3 linked regions of the Arabidopsis thaliana genome follow. The protein of the gene in region 3 interacts with the protein of the main gene of each other region in a biochemical or structural test. Each region holds a gene or a part of one and is shown on either strand. Other genes may lie near its edges.

What was found. The genes of interacting proteins can lie anywhere in the genome.
Region 1: the proteins of SKD1 (region 3) and EXT-like form a complex in vitro, tested with the Arabidopsis thaliana proteins (one study listed by BioGRID).
Region 2: the proteins of SKD1 (region 3) and AT4G24370 form a complex in vitro, tested with the Arabidopsis thaliana proteins (one study listed by BioGRID).

Annotation. Positions count from the first base shown.
Region 1 is NC_003075.7:13,474,264-13,481,211, forward strand, and holds EXT-like (hydroxyproline-rich glycoprotein family protein), read right to left. Parts: upstream 4,261-6,948; 5' UTR 4,120-4,260; coding exon 4,026-4,119; intron 3,941-4,025; coding exon 3,840-3,940; intron 3,541-3,839; coding exon 3,431-3,540; intron 2,916-3,430; coding exon 2,840-2,915; intron 2,740-2,839; coding exon 2,596-2,739; intron 2,326-2,595; coding exon 1,585-2,325; 3' UTR 1,354-1,584; downstream 1-1,353. Other genes in the region: ATS1 (peroxygenase 1), read right to left, coding at 33-127, 252-337, 427-576, 898-1,015; MAP65-2 (microtubule-associated protein 65-2), read right to left, coding at 4,571-4,864, 4,942-5,090, 5,179-5,266, 5,360-5,671, 5,749-5,904, 6,067-6,282, 6,359-6,604, 6,689-6,892. UniProt on the Arabidopsis thaliana protein: Involved in the endosomal multivesicular bodies (MVB) pathway.
Region 2 is NC_003075.7:12,610,043-12,614,622, forward strand, and holds AT4G24370 (uncharacterized protein), read right to left. Parts: upstream 2,090-4,580; 5' UTR 2,061-2,089; coding exon 1,566-2,060; 3' UTR 1,354-1,565; downstream 1-1,353. Other genes in the region: AT4G24350 (Phosphorylase superfamily protein), read left to right, coding at 1-33, 329-484, 567-776, 875-1,054, 1,128-1,286; AT4G24380 (dihydrofolate reductase), read left to right, coding at 2,512-2,736, 2,813-3,034, 3,119-3,248, 3,336-3,544; AFB4 (RNI-like superfamily protein), read right to left, coding at 3,867-4,580.
Region 3 is NC_003071.7:11,778,325-11,785,581, reverse strand, and holds SKD1 (AAA-type ATPase family protein), read right to left. Parts: upstream 4,687-7,257; 5' UTR 4,357-4,686; coding exon 3,879-4,356; intron 3,785-3,878; coding exon 3,679-3,784; intron 3,065-3,678; coding exon 2,866-3,064; intron 2,783-2,865; coding exon 2,714-2,782; intron 2,635-2,713; coding exon 2,560-2,634; intron 2,470-2,559; coding exon 2,371-2,469; intron 2,269-2,370; coding exon 2,113-2,268; intron 1,978-2,112; coding exon 1,852-1,977; 3' UTR 1,656-1,851; downstream 1-1,655. Other genes in the region: AT2G27610 (Tetratricopeptide repeat (TPR)-like superfamily protein), read left to right, coding at 1-1,655; AT2G27590 (S-adenosyl-L-methionine-dependent methyltransferases superfamily protein), read left to right, coding at 5,805-6,014, 6,255-6,361, 6,450-6,930, 7,039-7,157. UniProt on the Arabidopsis thaliana protein: Involved in the transport of biosynthetic membrane proteins from the prevacuolar/endosomal compartment to the vacuole. Required for multivesicular body (MVB) protein sorting.

The DNA.
Region 1 (6,948 bases), on a different chromosome or scaffold from region 3:
ACCGTTTTTTTCAAGATAATATGGTCACTCACCTTCCTTCATTGTCATATGTTTTTGAATCACTTCCATGCTTTGACTTGTGTATGTTGTGTATGTATATAGGGAAGAAAGGTGAAGGTAACCACCCCTGCATATAATCAAGTAGAACACTAACAAAATGGACAACGGATTTGGATATGATAATTTCCGAGTCTAGAGTAGAATCAATCAAAGTTTTGCGATATATGTCAGCAGAGGAGGAGAGGTGTTACCGGAAGAGTGGCATAGCTAAGGGTCAGGTTGATAACAGCGGCTATTATAAGCGACCCAATGATATTGAAACCAAGCATTCGCAGTCCTAATCACCGGTTGGGATCAACTTTTTGTACATATAATACTAACGAAAAATTTGAAGTTGAAATATCTATATATACTATATAGACATACCAGAGTAGGTCTCCCAAGGGTAAATGATGCCATTATCATCGATATCGAAGAAGGAGACATGCTGTTGAAGAACACTAAGTCCGTAATTCTTATGGCCTGGAGTTCCGTACGGGTGTTCTCTGTCTGGTGCTTGCAATGCTCTTGGCATATCTATGCATAACACATATAAGATCAAAATCTGTATCATTTCCACGTATGTGTAATGTGTGTATAGAATTATTCATGCACGTTCATGGGTAATACATTATTAATTACCATCATATACAGGATATGTATCATTTTACAATTTATAGCTTCTATAAGATCATGAACATCATTCTATATGCATGTTTTAAAAATTTTGAGGGTCGGCAATTCCATATATTTAAAAGGGTTTCTTAAATTCAACCATATATCAAATATTTTTTGGCATGCAATATATTGAAATCAATTAGGGATAAAAAAATGCAAGTAGCGAGAGAAAGGTTTTACAAGGTTTAGGAAGTCTATCATCCAAGTCAACACGAGCACGGCGATGGTAAGTGACCGGCGCATAGGGAGCCACCGTAGCCATTGCGTCTCTCTCCATCATCTCCGTCTTTGACCCCATCTCTCTCTCACTTTGTCTCTAGACTGAGTGCAAATGTATGTGTTTGTCTTAGAGTAAAGAGTATAATGAGGTAATAATAATAAGAATCGATTTGATTGATGTGCGTGGCGGACATGCACGCGCCGACGAAAGCAGCGATTGACATCTCTCTTTCCTTGTCTTTGACGCACATCTCTTCTCTCTTCCTCTGTCTTACACTTGACATGACTCTAGAGACACGTTTTCTTCCATGTTTCATCACTCTTTCTATTCTTGTCTGCTAAATTCAGTAATTCGGGCCTCTATGGGCTTTTATATAGGCCCAACCTCGAGTACTAACACCACCCGCTACATGAGTGCGTGTCCCACACTCGCTCTTTACGTGAAGACTGAAGAGGAACTCCATTGCCTATGTATGTATGAATGTACACGAAGTTGCAAGGAAAATTTTATGATAATAAGAATAATTCACACAAATTTTCTTTGTAAACGAAGTCTGAGCCTGAAAAGTTAATAAACAAACCCACAAATGTTGAGAACACACACACGCACTAACATCAACCCCAAGTGTCATAGATTAGATATAAAATTCAGTGACCGGCACCGGCCGATGGATTTGTTAGCAACTCAAGTGACTTCTTGAGATGTTCTACAGCAGTCGAGACTTCATCAAAAGCCAAAGCTCCCACAGCGAATCTAGCAGCCTTGAGTGCCTCTGCAACCTTCTCAGGCCCTGGCTGGTAGCTGCTATCGTAATGGTACTTCTGAGCTGAACTCGGTGCAGGATCTAGCACGGGAGCAATATTGATACGCCCGTTTGATGAGTAAGGTGGAGGAGGAGGAGCAGAGGAGAAGCTTGTGGAAGAAGGAGCAGGTGCAGAGTGCGGAGAAGAATAGTAAGGTTCTGGGTTTTGGTAGTGAGAAGGGTAGTGGGGAGAAGTGGATGGGAGGCTGCTCTCACTAAAGCTAGGATAAGATTGGAAATTAGGGAGAGAATTTGGAGAAGGCTCATGAGATGAGTAGTTTTGCGGTGGCGGCATGTGTTTTGGCGGGTCTTGGTGGTATGGTTGATGACTGTAAGGATGCGGGTAAGGGGAGTCTGATGGTCCTGTGGGAGGGGGAAGATGATCGTTGGAAGGGTAAGAAGACGGTGGTGGAGGTGGGACATCTGCGGGATAATCGTTGGTCGGATTGTCATAAAACCTGGGAGGTAGAGGGTGTTGTGGCACTTCAGGGAATTGATGGTGGCTGGAGTCATCATTCGAGTCATGGGGTGGATCAAGCTCTGTTCTATGATGACTTGTTGTGTTGGTATCACTTGCACTGTGATCCTGTAGATAATTAACATGCACAAACAATGAATCGATTAAGTTGATGCAGACGTTTTATCATAGTGTTTTGACAATTGAGAAAACAAAAACCTAAAAGTACACAGGTGGGTGTGAATGTGTGTGTCTCTAGCTAGATGATTTTGATCAGCGCTATGCGAATTCTATAAACATTTACGCTCCTAAACACTTTTCGATATTATTGGACAGAATACACGCTAAGCCAATATCAAGATATTTCCAATCCATAAATATTCAAGAAGAGAAACTTACATAGGAGCCACTAGGACCGCTTGATGGGATGGATAAATCAGTATCATCATCCACAGGATCACCTGGAGTGGGCTTCCTTCCTTCTTTAATGGCTTTCCTTATGTCAGCAGCCTTCCAAGCAGCATACTTGTGTTTCTGCTCTATCTGTTAATGGGAGCCATTACATATATACACATATCAATCTCCCAACACAGCTGCCTCTTAAGGTGATGTTAAGTGAATAAAAAAAGAAGTAGGAACTTACATCAGGAGGTACGGGACCAAACTGGCTCAGAATTTCAAAGAAGATGCTCGCAGCATAAAAAGTTTTGGCAGTGCCCCTGTCACAAGCACAACAAAGTTAATTTGGATAATCCATCGCAACTCGGAAGCCTATGTAATTGAGTCAAATGAATGCAGGTGTTAGCACTTATAAAATAAGGATACAGACAGTAATCGAACTAATATCAGTATCCAACCATGCATAGAAACACATCAATGCTGGAGATACAGGTATTTCGCAAAAGCAGAACAGGTAGAAGACAACAGGTCGAGATAAGCCTTGGATGCATCCAACTAATTACTTAACCCGCTATCTTAAACGATGGTAGAGGAAGGTATCACCTAAAAACATGTCTGCCGGACATGCATACTCATTGTAAATGTATGTGTACTTGCACGCTATTTCCAGTATTGGCAAACACAATAATACTAGACAGACAATGAATCTATAGAATCATGCTAATTCGACTCATTGAGCTAGTGTTGACGGTGACCCTAAAATTATTAGAAACTTGAGGGCAAAAAAAATGCCATTCTATATATAATCAAACATAAGAGCAAAAAAAATTCTTACAAGTCTGCTCTTCCTGCACGATCCTGCTTGTCTGCCTTAGCAAAGACACTAAGTGCAAACCCCTCCACATGCATATTGTCATCTGGGGACAGAGTCAATGATTTTTTATCCTGGAGTTACACAAAAAAGAAATCGCCATAAGAAACTGGAACTAATCAAGAAATTGCCTCATGAACTCTGTCAATCACATGAACAAACCTAAGCTAAATTTAGATATAAGCCTCCTTACCAAACACAAACATAAATAAAAAAACTCCAGCTTTGTAACAAGTAACAACATATAATAATCAAAGTCAAACACATCATGAGAATTACTAAGAACCGGTCCTTTCAAATCTAAACAAGTAAAAAATCAAACAAGCTGAAATAAATCAGAAAAACTCACAATTTAAAACTTCAAAGGTAATACCTTTTCGAGTTGATTAATGAGAGACATGAGAATCGAATTGGTGGTCTTAGTTCTCTCGCTCTGCGGAATCTTCAATCCTCGTTCCATTGCATATAGCCGACCTAATCAATCACAAAATTCCATGAATACACACAATCGCAGGAGGCGATCATCTAGGTTAGATATAGATAAGAAAACGAAACTCACAGTAATAAGCAACAAGTGGTTCATGCTTCTGCAGCTCATCGGCACGTTGCAGGTAAGGCAGAAGAGCCCTGGCTGGTTCGTTTGGGTTCGACATAGATTCTCTCTTCTCTCGAGCTCCGTAGCTTTTTCTCCGATTGATTTGTTAAGACAAAACAGCTCAAGAAATTTTCCTGTATTTAACGCGCTTCTGATTGCAAACTAGAAACGACGTCGCAGAAAGGACCTCTAAAATCCCAAACCTTCTTGGAAACTTTTTAAACTTTTAAATCATGCCCAAAAGATCTTTCAGTATATTACAATTTTGCCCAAATATTATTTCGTAATTCCAATTAGAACCTTGACTTTCATTCACTAAACCGGTCACTTCACATTAGTCATGCTAACAAGTACCAAACAAATTTGAGTGAATGAATACAGAAACAGAAACATCTAAGTAACATTCTACTCTCATTGTCTTTGTTTCTAAGTGTTTGTTTCTTAAACAGCACTATTAGCAACTAACAAAAGTGTAAGTAAGCATTATAACTCTCTTTCTTTTGATATTGTCACGGTGAAGCCATCACTGGGTCAGCACGAGAGACTGGAGATGCAGCATCATCTTTTGTGTTGGCTACAATGTTCGAAGGTGAAGCTATCTTGTTCAGACTGTCTCTCTTGGACTTGCTTCCGTTCTGGTTTGAGTTCATAGACAAACGCCTCATAGGAGTTTCGTTGAGCCCTCCTCCATTGACTCGTGTTCCCACCGGTTTCTTGGCACTAACGGGTCTTGCAGGGCTTGGTTTAGACCCAAAGGCGGATTCTTGATCTGTGTGTGGCTGTTCTTGCTGCTTCTTCTGTTCCTGTTAATGAAAAGGCAAGATTATTTTAAAAGAAGTTAGTTTCAACAATCGGTTTAACACAGGATGAAACAACTTACTTTCAGCCTCCGCTTCTCATCTTCTCGTTCTTGCCTAAGCATAGTGTATTCATCTAGCATGGCGAGTAAAGGAACTCCATCGTACTCAAAGGACATACTGTTCTCCTCTTCCCATGCCCGGGTTTTAGCAATCAACGTGTCAACCATAGCTTGCACAAACAAAGTATGATATATTCTTCAGTCTCAGTTTAATTCTATGTGTAGTAATAACTAAGAGAGACTTTTGGAAGTTCTTACCAGTAATCTTGCTGACCAGAATCCGAGCTTTCTCAGCTCTCTTGAGATTCAAATGCGCACCTCGGCTTGCACTATACCTGTTCTGATCCTGTTTTTCCAGAACAAAAACCCAAAAGAATCATCAATTGAACTCTATGCTTAATAAGTAATGTGTTTATTAACATAGCCAATGTTAGCATACTCGATTGTAATCTTCGAGCCAGCTCTCTTCCTCACAAGCTGACATCCATTTCTCTACACGGTCTAAAATTTCTTTTCTACTAAAGGCTTCCTCCTTGGCCTTTGCGATCTGGCTATCCATGTCAGCCAGTAACTCAGTAGGTTCAGTATTCCCAGCATCAATCAACGACATGATCCTCTCACGAACAACCTCTGGTTTTATTTCTATGTGAGCACGAGCATATATCTCCTCAAGCTCTGATTGCTTTTTGAATGCAATTTCCTTCATTCTGCTAGATTTCAGTTGATCAAGCCTATCCACTTCCACCTCAGCCTTCAAGAGTTCACAGAAGATTTTTAAAAGCAGTACTTATCATACACATTGATTGATACATTACAAATTTACGATACCTGTTCGATAAGATCAAGTGCGAGAGCACCAGAGGCAGTCACTTCATGAACTGAAGCTGAAATGTTAGAGGTAACATGGTCAAAAAGCTCCCTTTCCTCATCAGAAGTATCCATCAGATTCCATAGATCAGTTAGCTGAGTAGCTAGTTCTTGAAGCTGCATAAAACCAAGATACATTAATGAAATCCACAAACAAGAATGGTGCAGAGAAAAGTTACAAACTTTCAGCGCAATTAATCAGAAAGGATTTCAACATATGTGCAGCCTAAACTGACCAAGCTCATGTCAGAGATCACAAAGACCATGATTTTGACTAACCTTCTTAAGTCTTTGCATTTTATCTTCTTTAAGAGTCAAGACAGTCTTAGCCAACCTTGCAAGTGTTTCATTGCTAATGCTCTTGGTTTGAACACCATTTGCCTCATCTAAGCTCGGATGAACTTCGGTGACAGTGCTTAAGAAATCTAAACGAAGGACGGCACATAGATCATGCACCGTGCTCACAAACTCGAGCACCTTCTGTAACCTATCACTCTGCTCAAACACAAAGCAGTTTTAGTTCTGGTTTGAACATAGGCCACACATAACCATATCCCAACTAATATTTTACCTTCTCTTTCTGGAGCTCTTGGAGTTTCCTCTGGAAGTCATCTAATCTCTTTAGAGACAAGTCAGTCTCATCAACCACATGAGGTCCATTGTTCAATCCGCCAGCGATCTCCTCACATATCTTCTGAATCTGTGATTGTACATCAGAAAATGCCCGGACCCTTTCCTCTTTCTGTTGCCAAAGTTGTTCAAGCGCAGGTGCTATTGCAGAAAGTTGTTCTTTGATCGTTCCTGAAGTCTTATCAGGCTGCAATGGAAACAAAGACATTGAATCACACTACACTGTAACCATCTCATCTCTTTACCACTTGTAAGACGTGAGATTACTTACAATGTCGATATAGCTTTTTTCCCCGAGAGCAGTTGTGAGATTGGAAAGTTCAACAGTGGCATCTGACAAAGTCTGAAGAAGCTCTGCACGAGATTTTGCGGCTAGCTCAACTTTCTTTTTGTAAACATTCAGACACTCTTCCTCAATCTGTAGAAGCAGTTTGTCTCGTTCTTCATCACTCTCCCCAACCTCATCCCAGATTTCCTGTAACAAGTTTGTACATTGAGTTTGTGGAACCATATATTAAAAGGATAAGTGTG
Region 2 (4,580 bases), on a different chromosome or scaffold from region 3:
AAGGTTGTGTATGTTAGATGTGGGAGAGGAATGGTGAGTAACCACAACATTAAATTATCCAAAACAGAACAAAAAAAACTACAACAAAATAAAGAAGTTTATATGGCTCTTATTTCTTATCTAAAAGTAGTATACAAAAAGGGAATGGGCACACACCAAAATATCCTGATCCGTATACAATAATTGAAATGATGAATTGATGATAAAACTTATATTAAGTTTTAATATAGTTAGTAAGTAGTATAGTATATTAAAGATGCATATTAGTAAATGTAATCCATATGAAAAGTAGCAAACGAACACTTATATTAAGACAAAAGAATTGCAGGTGAATGGAGCAGCAGCAACACAACAGATGATAGATGTGTTCAATGTGAAAGGGATAGTGCATTTTGGGATTGCTGGAAATATGAACAACTCAATGTCCATAGGAGATGTGAGCATCCCTAAGCAAATTACGAATGCTGGCTTGTGGGATTGGCTGGTAAGTATAATAGTTACACAAGTTTGATTGCTTCTTCTTCTTCATATTGTCTGATCCATGCTTTTGGTTCTGAGTAAAACAGAATCCAGACAAAGTAAAGGGAGTTGAGGATATAGCGTACTTAGATGTCGGAAACTATAATGTTCCAAAAGGAGATGGCGACAATGAGTTAGGGAGTATTGGATATAATTACGAGCAACTATATTCAGTCACTGGTCACATCAATGCACCTCAGAATGTGTTTTGGATCAACACAACTCAAGAGTGGCTTCATCTTGCAGCTGATCTAGAGGTTGTTAAGAGCTATACAACATACTGATTAGATTATAGATTATAAACAATAACGGTTCCATTGTTAACAACGGTTTTTCGTGTGGTATACGGTGGCAGAAGATGGAGCTATCGCAGTGTGTAAATGCAAGTTTGTGTCTTCCAAAGAAACCAAAATTGGTAGTTGGATTGAAAGCAGCCACTGCTTACATATTTGTGGATAATGCAGCCTATAGAAATTTCTTATACGATACTTTTGGAGTCTCCTCCTCTGATATGGAGAGTTCTGCAGTAGCCATGGTAATTTTGAATCCATTAATTTTTACATAATTTTGATCGTTAAGTGATATGTTTGTGTTGTGGATTTGACCAGACATGCGCATCAAATGGGTATCCGATAATTGTGATAAGGGGTTTATCAGATTTAGCTGGAGAAGGAGGAGATAACACTGTTCATAAGTTTGGATCTTTGGCTGCCACTAACACTGCCAAAGCTGTTTTAGAGTTCATTAGGAAGCTCCCACCGTACTAATTCCTCTAGTGTAACCTATTTATCATGAATGTTTGAATCTAGTTCTCTAGTTCATATCAACGAACCCGTGACAACAAATGATTTGGATTGTTATCAAATTCCATTTTCCATGATCGTAACAATGACAACACTTTTATCTCATATATCTACGAAATGCAACATTCGAAAAATTAACAATCTCATTGCAAATTCCAAACTTTCACTCATTCTAGCGACAATCTTTAACAAGCACAAAAAGGGATGTATATATACCTTACAAGAGAAGCCAAATTGTTAAAATTAAGGTTTAACATCTCTAGTTGAATCATTCTCATCATCGCTATCGCAATTCTGGCTTTGCTCATCGTCAGAAGACGGAGACGGATCGAGACGGGCTGCGTCTATAGCCCATTGGATCAGCTTATCCACTTCAGCATCTTCTCCGATTTCATCACCATCTTCTCCGATTTCATCCTGAAGAAGAACAGAGGACGAAGAAGACGCGGAGGGGAGAGAAGTTTTCAGAGCCGCGAATCTAAGCATGAGATCTTCTGGTGTTTCTTCAACCACATCCTTTGATTTCGGCTGCATTCTCGGCCGTTGTTTCTGTTGTTGCTGCTGATCCTTCTTCTTTTGAGATTTGAGAGCGAGAAATCTAGAGTGAAGATCTGGATCTAAGTAATCGGAAGAAGATCGAGAAGTGTGAGAATCAACAGAGAGCTTTAGTATCATCTCATCTTGAGCTGCTTGAAGCAACTGTTCAACTTCGTCTTCTTCCTTGCCTCCTCTCCTCATCTCTCGAATCTGTTGATCTCAAAATCGATTTTCAAAAACCGAATTGCGACTTTATGATCTCTATACAAAACCGGTTTAGTATAGGGTCGATTTTAATTGGACCAACGCCTAACTTACGGGCACACGATGTCGTTTCCCACGCGGTTTAGATTCCAAATTTCCGTGAGATGTTTATTTGATCTCCACCGTCCAATGGAAACTCTGATTATTTCGTTGCCGTTGATCTTTGACCAAAAATTGCCAACCAATCAGTTTGGCCCAATAAGAAAAGGAAGAAAACCTGAATTTCACTTAATCTATCGGCCCTTTTTTGGTATTTCCCATGTGCGATAAATTTATACGATCAAATGTGAACCACGATGGTTCCTGGAAGAAGGAAGAGATTTGCAGCAACAGAGCGTTATAAAAAGGCGAAGCAAGAGGGAAGACAACAGATAACAAATTGTGAAGAATGGGAAGCGAAGGAAGATCGATTGCGAGGAAGCCAAGGTTTTTGTGTCTCCATGGATTTCGTACGAGCGGAGAGATAATGAAGATACAGCTTCATAAATGGCCTAAATCTGTAATTGATAGACTCGATCTCGTGTTTCTCGATGCACCTTTTCCTTGTCAAGGCAAATCTGATGTCGAAGGCATCTTTGATCCTCCTTATTACGAGTGGTTTCAATTCAACAAGGTCCTTTGTTTTTCTTCACTTTCTTCTCTTTATTCTTTTGATTCGTATGTGTACTAACGTTGTAATTTGGATTCAGGAATTCACCGAGTATACGAATTTCGAGAAATGTTTGGAGTACCTGGAGGATCGTATGATCAAGCTTGGTCCTTTCGATGGTCTCATTGGGTTTTCCCAGGTAAGTTATCTACATTTGAAATTGCATCAACAGAGTCTGATTTGTGTACTCTCTTTGAAAACTCTAAATTTGATTTTGCAGGGTGCAATTTTGTCTGGGGGTTTACCAGGACTGCAAGCTAAGGTACGTCAATACTAATGACACTATAGTATTCATGATCATATTTATTTACAAATTCTGTTTCTGATTCATTTACAACTTTTGCAGGGAATTGCATTTCAGAAAGTACCAAAGATTAAGTTTGTTATAATCATTGGAGGAGCTAAGCTCAAATCCGCCAAATTGGCCGAGAATGCATATTCGTCTTCCTTGGAAACTCTCTCCCTCCACTTTTTAGGTACATTCTGCAAAAGCTGATTTGAAAATTCTTCAAAACCTTGTTCATTGATGATCGAGAATCTGATAAATGGCTTGTTTGTTGCAGGAGAGACTGATTTTCTGAAACCTTACGGAACTCAGCTGATAGAATCGTACAAGAATCCGGTGGTTGTCCATCATCCCAAAGGCCATACTGTCCCAAGGCTTGATGAGAAAAGCTTGGAGAAAGTTACCGCATTTATCGATACCTTAGAGCATCTGGTGATGGAGGAAGACAAGAATGGTGAAGAAAATACTAGTAAGCCAACAAAATAGATAAGCTTAAAATGTTATGTATAACGAATAATTCTTTGGATAATAATCGTGCAATGACTGTAAATAAATCTGGCAATGTTTGCGAAAAAACAATTATTACAACACAAACAATAATAGACGATTCTTTCGTTCATTTTCATACATTGTCTTCCTTTGAGCTATAATACTCTTCTTGGTGTATATAACGAATCCAAAGAAGAGTGAAAATGGCAAAACAAATCATGCAGTGTACCTGAAGCACTTACAGTTTACAAACACATTATCTTCTGCTTGCTAGTTTTGCTTTTCCCCAATCATGGCCTCATTTGCACCAAAGTTTTTCTCATAAAATTGTTACAAACTTTGGAGCATCCTTCCTTGGGCCATCAAGGGATCGATACAAGTACAATGTCTCAACATAATCCCCAGTGACAGTGTCTTCGTCATCATCACCATCGGCTCCAAATACTTCCACGACTACATTAGGCAGAGCATGAGAAACACCCCTGCAGCCTCCACGGGATATGAGACATGACGACAACCAAACAAACCTCATATTGGAATACCGATGCATACCAGAGCGCAATCCAACATCTCCAAAGGGACTGTCCCTGATCTCAAGCTTTTGTAGTTTAGGACAACCCTCAAGAACGTATCTCAGAGCCTTGTCACTGTTCCCAGCAAACGCTACAGATAGCGTACGGATCAATTTCCCATATTCTCCTATATAGCTAAAAGCTTCATCTGTTAGTAACCCTGATACTGCAAGTCGGGTTAGCTTCTTGCAGTTTTTAACAATGGCACCAAATCCATCGTCCATTGGCTTTCCTGTCACGTGGTCAGGCCTATGGCGACCCATTATGCAAAGTCTAAACACAGTAAGCTGCGGGCAGTTCTCCGACATGGCTGTCACAGCTCCATTGGTCATATTCTGGCAAAAGTACAGGATAGATTCCAGTTTCCTACAGCCCTCTGAAATTGCTTGGAGGCCTACTCCCGAGACAGGACCTTCACTGTCTTCACGAGGATCAAAAGGGAAAATCCGAAGCTCACGGAG
Region 3 (7,257 bases):
ATTGCAGTGTTGTAAAATACGGGTTTTTGTTTGATCAGAATATAAGGACGGCTCTAATGGTAGCGTATAGTAAATGTACGGCGATGCTTGATGCTCTTAGGCTGTTCAAAGAGATAGGATGCGTAGGAAATGTTGTGTCGTGGACAGCGATGATTAGTGGTTTCTTGCAGAATGATGGGAAAGAGGAAGCAGTAGATTTATTTTCTGAAATGAAGAGGAAAGGTGTTAGACCAAACGAATTCACTTATTCTGTCATTCTCACAGCTCTTCCTGTGATTTCTCCATCAGAGGTCCACGCACAGGTTGTAAAGACTAACTACGAGAGATCTTCAACTGTTGGAACTGCTCTTTTAGATGCTTATGTGAAGTTAGGCAAAGTAGAAGAGGCTGCAAAAGTTTTTAGCGGTATTGATGATAAAGACATTGTGGCTTGGTCAGCGATGCTTGCAGGATATGCTCAGACCGGAGAGACAGAGGCAGCTATAAAGATGTTTGGTGAGCTAACAAAAGGAGGGATAAAACCGAACGAGTTCACATTCTCTAGCATCCTTAACGTGTGTGCGGCTACTAATGCGTCTATGGGACAGGGAAAGCAATTCCACGGGTTCGCTATAAAATCAAGACTCGATAGTTCTCTGTGTGTTAGTAGTGCTCTTCTAACCATGTATGCAAAGAAAGGCAACATCGAGAGTGCGGAAGAAGTCTTTAAAAGGCAGAGAGAGAAAGATCTAGTATCATGGAATTCGATGATCTCTGGGTATGCACAACACGGGCAAGCTATGAAGGCTCTCGATGTTTTCAAGGAGATGAAGAAGAGAAAGGTGAAAATGGATGGTGTAACATTCATCGGAGTATTTGCTGCTTGTACACATGCGGGGTTAGTAGAAGAAGGCGAAAAATATTTCGATATAATGGTGAGAGACTGCAAGATAGCACCTACAAAGGAGCATAATAGTTGTATGGTGGATCTATACAGCCGAGCTGGGCAACTTGAAAAGGCTATGAAGGTCATAGAAAACATGCCAAATCCGGCTGGTTCCACCATTTGGAGAACAATTCTAGCTGCATGCCGTGTGCACAAGAAAACAGAGCTAGGGAGATTAGCTGCAGAGAAGATCATTGCGATGAAGCCAGAAGATTCAGCGGCATATGTATTATTGTCTAACATGTATGCAGAGTCAGGAGATTGGCAAGAGAGAGCCAAAGTAAGGAAGCTGATGAATGAGAGGAACGTGAAGAAAGAACCTGGTTATAGTTGGATTGAGGTCAAGAACAAGACTTACTCGTTCTTGGCGGGTGATCGGTCTCATCCTCTCAAAGATCAAATCTATATGAAGCTAGAAGATTTAAGTACACGGCTGAAGGATTTAGGGTATGAGCCAGATACAAGTTATGTGCTTCAAGATATTGATGATGAGCATAAAGAAGCAGTTCTTGCTCAGCATAGTGAGAGATTAGCTATTGCTTTCGGGTTGATAGCTACACCAAAGGGAAGCCCTCTTTTGATCATTAAGAACCTTAGGGTTTGTGGAGATTGTCATTTAGTGATCAAATTAATTGCAAAGATTGAAGAAAGAGAGATCGTAGTTAGAGATTCAAATCGGTTTCATCACTTTAGCAGTGATGGAGTTTGCTCATGTGGAGACTTTTGGTGACATAATAAATAGAAAACATTGTTCAGAACATTTTTTTTTTACACAATTCGAGAAATAAAGCAAATTCAATGTTTTGGGAAGAAATCAAACATGGGTTTGAGATTTTGTTTTGCTTCTCAGTACATACATAAGGAGATGGTGAAGAGACTAATAATAATATGATTGTGAAAGATGCTTGATGGGAATGTCAAATCTATCAACCTTCTTCTCCAAACTCCTGTGTGAATCTCTCGTGGACATCAAGGTCAGACTTGCTCACTGTTGGCCTTTGTCTTGCAAGTACCTTCTCGAAATCTGTTCTGGTGATTGGTGGTGGAATAATCTGTTGCAATTTATTCACATGAAATACACAATTCAGTCTTTAGAAATCGTCATATGTAAGGATTGAAAGGATTTAGAAATCAGAGAAGCTTGAAATACAAAACCTAAATGATATATTCAAAGTTTAGATGCGTACCTTTTCGGCAAGCCCTTTTGTTGCTAGATCTTGCATTGTAGTCTGGATGGCACCAGGGTGCCTAGGCCCACATGGCATCCATGTACCATCAGGAGACTTGAAAAAGAACATTGCATCTTGTGTTTTACGAACAGGTTCAAACAGAACATCTTTTACCTGCAAGAGCCAAAAAGATTCTCAAGACAAAGGCTTATCTATCTATAGCAACATAGGGGGAAATTAAGGACAATAAGAAATAACTCAGGCCAAGTTACGTACACAAACAGACACATCTGAACCAGAAAACCCTTCTGTCTTTTGGCCTAAATATTCAAAATCAGGTTCAGTTAAATTATGAGGTGTATCTCCCAAGTGGACCTGCATTTACAAAACAGATCTCATTAGTAAACTGGTTCTGTCTCCCTTGAATGATTTTTACTTGAGAAACTTGAAGCAAATGAATAATACTTTGAACATGTGCTGCCGAGCCTTGGCCTCTGGGAGAGGAATATAGATACGCTTGTCAAAACGTCGCCGGATAGCCTGAAATTAACATGGAGTTAACAAAACAATATTTAACTGGCAAAGAAAATAGAGAACCAAGCCGTCTTATGACTTTCACCTGATCAAGAGCATAGGGTGTATTGGTTGCTGCAAGTACAAGTACTTTCTCATCATTGTGTCCAACACCCTAAAAGAAAAAGAGATAAGTCAGAGACGGAAATTTCAGCTACAACTAAAAGACATGGAGTTTAGTTCGGATAAGCTATGCACCTGCATCTGCACTAGAAGCTCTGTTTTGATACGTCTTGAAGCTTCACTCTCGTTTCCTTCTCCACGTGTACCACACAAAGAATCTATCTCATCAACAAAAATAATCGAGGGAGCACTTTCACGGGCCATCTCGAAAAGGTTTGATACTAGCTTCTCACTTTCACCCATCCACTTCGAGACAAGGTCTGATGAAGACACGCTGAAGGTTGGGAAGTAAAAAGGAAACAACTTTTCTTAAGCTATAACATGTTTCCAAGTATAAACACTGTAAAAACAAACTGACATAGAAAAACAACCAACATAAAGTACATAGCCATACCTAATTAAAAACCCAAGTACCTCGTGCAAACAACATTGAAATTAGAAATTCTGGCACCCTTAAACCAAAGGATCAGCATTCTTGCCTAATTAAATCGATCCGCCTTGGTTCTCTAATATGCTATTTAGATTCTACCAGGCCTTTAAAATCGGGTTGCAGCTGCTTATGTATAACATGTACAGATAGCAGAGACTCATACATCTATTCTAGCATAGAGCAGAATTTGCATATAAACTATAAAGGAACATCAAACCTTTCCTTAATATTTCTATCCGAACTTGTAGTACACCGTTAGAATTCAAACACAAACAAAACCAAAGACCACCCTCCTTAAACTAATCCCAAACTACTTCAATACGCTTATCATCCATAGCAACTATTCAAATCCATAAGTATTTGACTATGGTCTCAAGCTATAATGAAAGAGTTAAGACACTACACCATCCTCTTCCTATATACTTTCAGAAATTCAAACACTTTTAAACATACGTTACCTAAAAAAGGTAGAGTCAGCTTCAGTGGCAACAGCCTTAGCCAAATACGATTTTCCTGTTCCAGGAGGCCCATACAACAGAAAAGCTCTCCAAGGCCGTCTCTTTCCTAAGAAGTAACAAAACAACAGATAAAGCTCACAACTTTACAAAGAGAACGGTTTCAAAACTTCAATGAATAGCTCCAGATTACACAAATTTACCAGTGAAGAACTGTGGAAACTTGACAGGCAAAATCACAGCTTCCTGCAGAGCTTGTTTAGCACTTTCAAGCCCAGCAACATCTGACCACTTGATATTAGGTTTCTCTCTAACAATCGCAGAGTTTAACCCAGCTCGAAGCTTTGATTGTTCAGGATCTTCTCCATCTTTACCACCACCTTCTCCATCTTTAGGCTTAGTTTTGGGCCTCGTTGCGACGGCTGCATCACCGTTAGATCCTGGACCCGATCCACCTTCATCGAGAACAGCACGGATCTCCTCAGCACGACGGAGATACTCGGTGAATTTCTGGGTAATAGCTTCTCTGATCTTAGGGTTCTTCTCATACTTGAGATGAGTTTTGAAGTACTCAAGCGCGTTCATGTATAGAGGGAAAGCTTTATTGTAATTCCCAGCATTGTCTTCATGAACCGCTTGCTTCACGTACTCGATCGCTTGTTCCTTGAAATTGCTGTACATAATTTAGGGTTTTACAAGAGAAATTGAAATTCTCTCGATTTGAAATTGTGATTCCGAATTGATTGAATCGGTGATGATCAAGGGTTAAAGGAGCCTTGAAATTGTGATAGGAAGATTCCGAATTGGAGACGAAGATCGGAGGAAGGAGATGGAGAAGAGAGAAGAAGGAATGGATTATGCAAAGCGATGAAGAAAAAAGCTAGATTTGACGACGAAGACGAAAAGGTCTTGAAAACAGCGGAGCGTAGGTTGGTAGAAGAATGAAACGGTGAGGCGTTTTTGGAAGTTGTGAAGAATTGGCTCAATGTTTTGATGAATGATAACGAAAACGCTTGCCGTTTTTTAATATATGCTTATTTTTTCCAATAATTTTGTATTAAATGGTTTGAAAAAGAAAACAAATTGTATTAAAAAGCAGAAGAAAAACAAAAAAATCCACGTAGAGAGATACATCAAAATCCCACCATTCAAATATATTAAGTACAAGGTCCTTCTAATAGGAGGCAAATTTGAAAAAAAATTCAAATAGTGACAATATAAAGCATGACCATGATAAGTTTTCTTGTTATCAACCTTAAGAAAACAAACTAGAAATATTATTTCAAAAACAAACCTTAACATCAACACAAATTAGTAAATCTACTTTGAATGCAATTGTAGCAAAAAATAGTGACCAAAATTAAACTTGCAACAAAGAACATTTAAGTTGCAGAAAGGACATTCCTTTTATTCATTCAAAACATTTGGAGTCACTTGTGCACATTGCAAACGCAAAGACCGGAGTTTCAGCAGCGAATCGTAATTGTCAACCAAAGCGAACAGGTTCTATTGATACCCAACTAGCAAGATTATTGATTATGTCTCAATGATAAAACGAACGAATGAATTTTTCACTAGTTGACAATGCATTAAAGAAAAAAGGAAATTTTCAAGTTCAAAGAATATGTTCATTAGTGTGGAAGCGATTAGGCAATACAAAAATGGTAATATATTATTGTCTTAAACACAAGATAATCAATAGTTATTGGCAAGAAACACATATCTTCAAGTAAGAAATACATTATCCATCATAAACTTATAATAAGAGGAGATCATTGCAAGATCTATTGAGATTTTCAAAGTACTATTTGTTACCTATGCGTCTAGTCATCTCCAACGAAACACCAAAACACTATTTTAGGTGATAATTAACCAAGTTTTTCTAAACCATAGTAAAAAAAAAAAAAAAAAAAACCCCACATGATAAATACCATCCGAACCACTAAAAACCGGTATTTGACCCAAAAAAAACACTAAACCGAGAGCAATAGGGCCTACGTGGCATAGTTTAGGGCACTCTTCAGTCTAAAGACACACTAAACACAAAGTCAACGCTTTTCTCTTCTTCCTCGACTGCTCTGCTCTGCTCTATTCTCTGGATTGAGAATTTGGACTGAGAACGACGACAAATGGGGAAACGAGAGAAAAAACCTAATCGACGTCGCCACAAAGGTGAATATTCGAATGATGCTGAAGATTTCTACGATCAACACCCGCCGGCTGTTGCCTCCGTCGACGAAGAAGATGAAGAAAACTCTGACGAAGAAGAAGAAGAAAATGATGGAAACGAATCATCGGATTTGCCTTCAAAGTTTCTCCTTTACCAACAATCCGTTCAGGTAACTGCAATTCTGTGCTTGGCCTTCTAAGTTTCATTGAGTGGTTCTTACTGGTTTTATGAAATCAGTTAAAAGTACTTAAATTTTCTTAGGGAGAGAGTTCTCTGTATCTCTTGTATAAAGAAGCACTAAGATTTAACAAATTGTATTGTTTGTGTTTCACTGTTCTTGTTCTATCATCAAGCACTAAGCTTTAACATTTGTTGTTCTTGTCTTTTCATTGCTTTTTGTTTGTTGCAGTCACCAAAAGGAGACATAAGTTACTTGCAGAAGTTCTTTTTAATGTATGTTGGTGGAAGACAACCTTTCCATTTCCAAGAAGATTTCTGCGGCACTGCTCTTTTAAGGTTGTTGTGTGTTTCACTAAATGGTACAAAATAATGTAGCTTTTGGTTTTCTTGCTTGAATAAGTTTTTACATTGATTGTTGGAATAGTGCGGAGTGGCTGAAGACTGACACTAGACGGACTGCTATAGGGCTTGATTTTGATCTTGAGGCGTTAGAATGGTGTATGGATAACAACATTAGTAAACTTGGTTCTGACGTGTATTCAAGAATGTCGCTTTTCCATGGGAATGTTTTAACTCCTCTTGAGGCTAAGCAAGTGAAATCTAAATCCCATGAGCTGATACAAAATATCAGCTTGGATGATGGTGATGATAATGAAGATTTGGCTGATCCGAGTGTTGTCGAATCTTTAGAGAAAGATGGACCTGATTCGTTGCCAAAGAGGGATATTGTGTGTGCTTTTAATTTTAGTTGTTGTTGTCTCCACAAACGCTCGGAGTTGGTTTCTTACTTCAAGAATGCACGTGACGCTTTGTCTAAGAAAGGTGGTATCTTCGTGATGGATTTATATGGAGGTGCTTCTGCTGAGGGACAGTTGAAGCTTCAACGGAAATTCCCTAATTTCACGGTAATAGTTCATTCTTGTACTTCATTCGGTAAAAAAGGGTGTCAGAGCCATAAATATCGAACTTACTAGAGATAACCGTACTAACGATTGTCCATATTCATTTGGCAGTATACATGGGAGCAGGCTGAGTTTGATATTTTAAGCCGCAAGACAAGGATCAGTCTGCACTATCACCTTCAGAAGCAGAACAGAAAGATTCGCCATGCTTTTTCATATAGCTGGAGACTGTAAGTGTCCTGTAGTCTACTTCCACATCCATTCTTTCTTCAAAGTGGGACAGTCATTACCCACAATCTCCCACAAGCCTTAAGAAAATATTACAGTTAC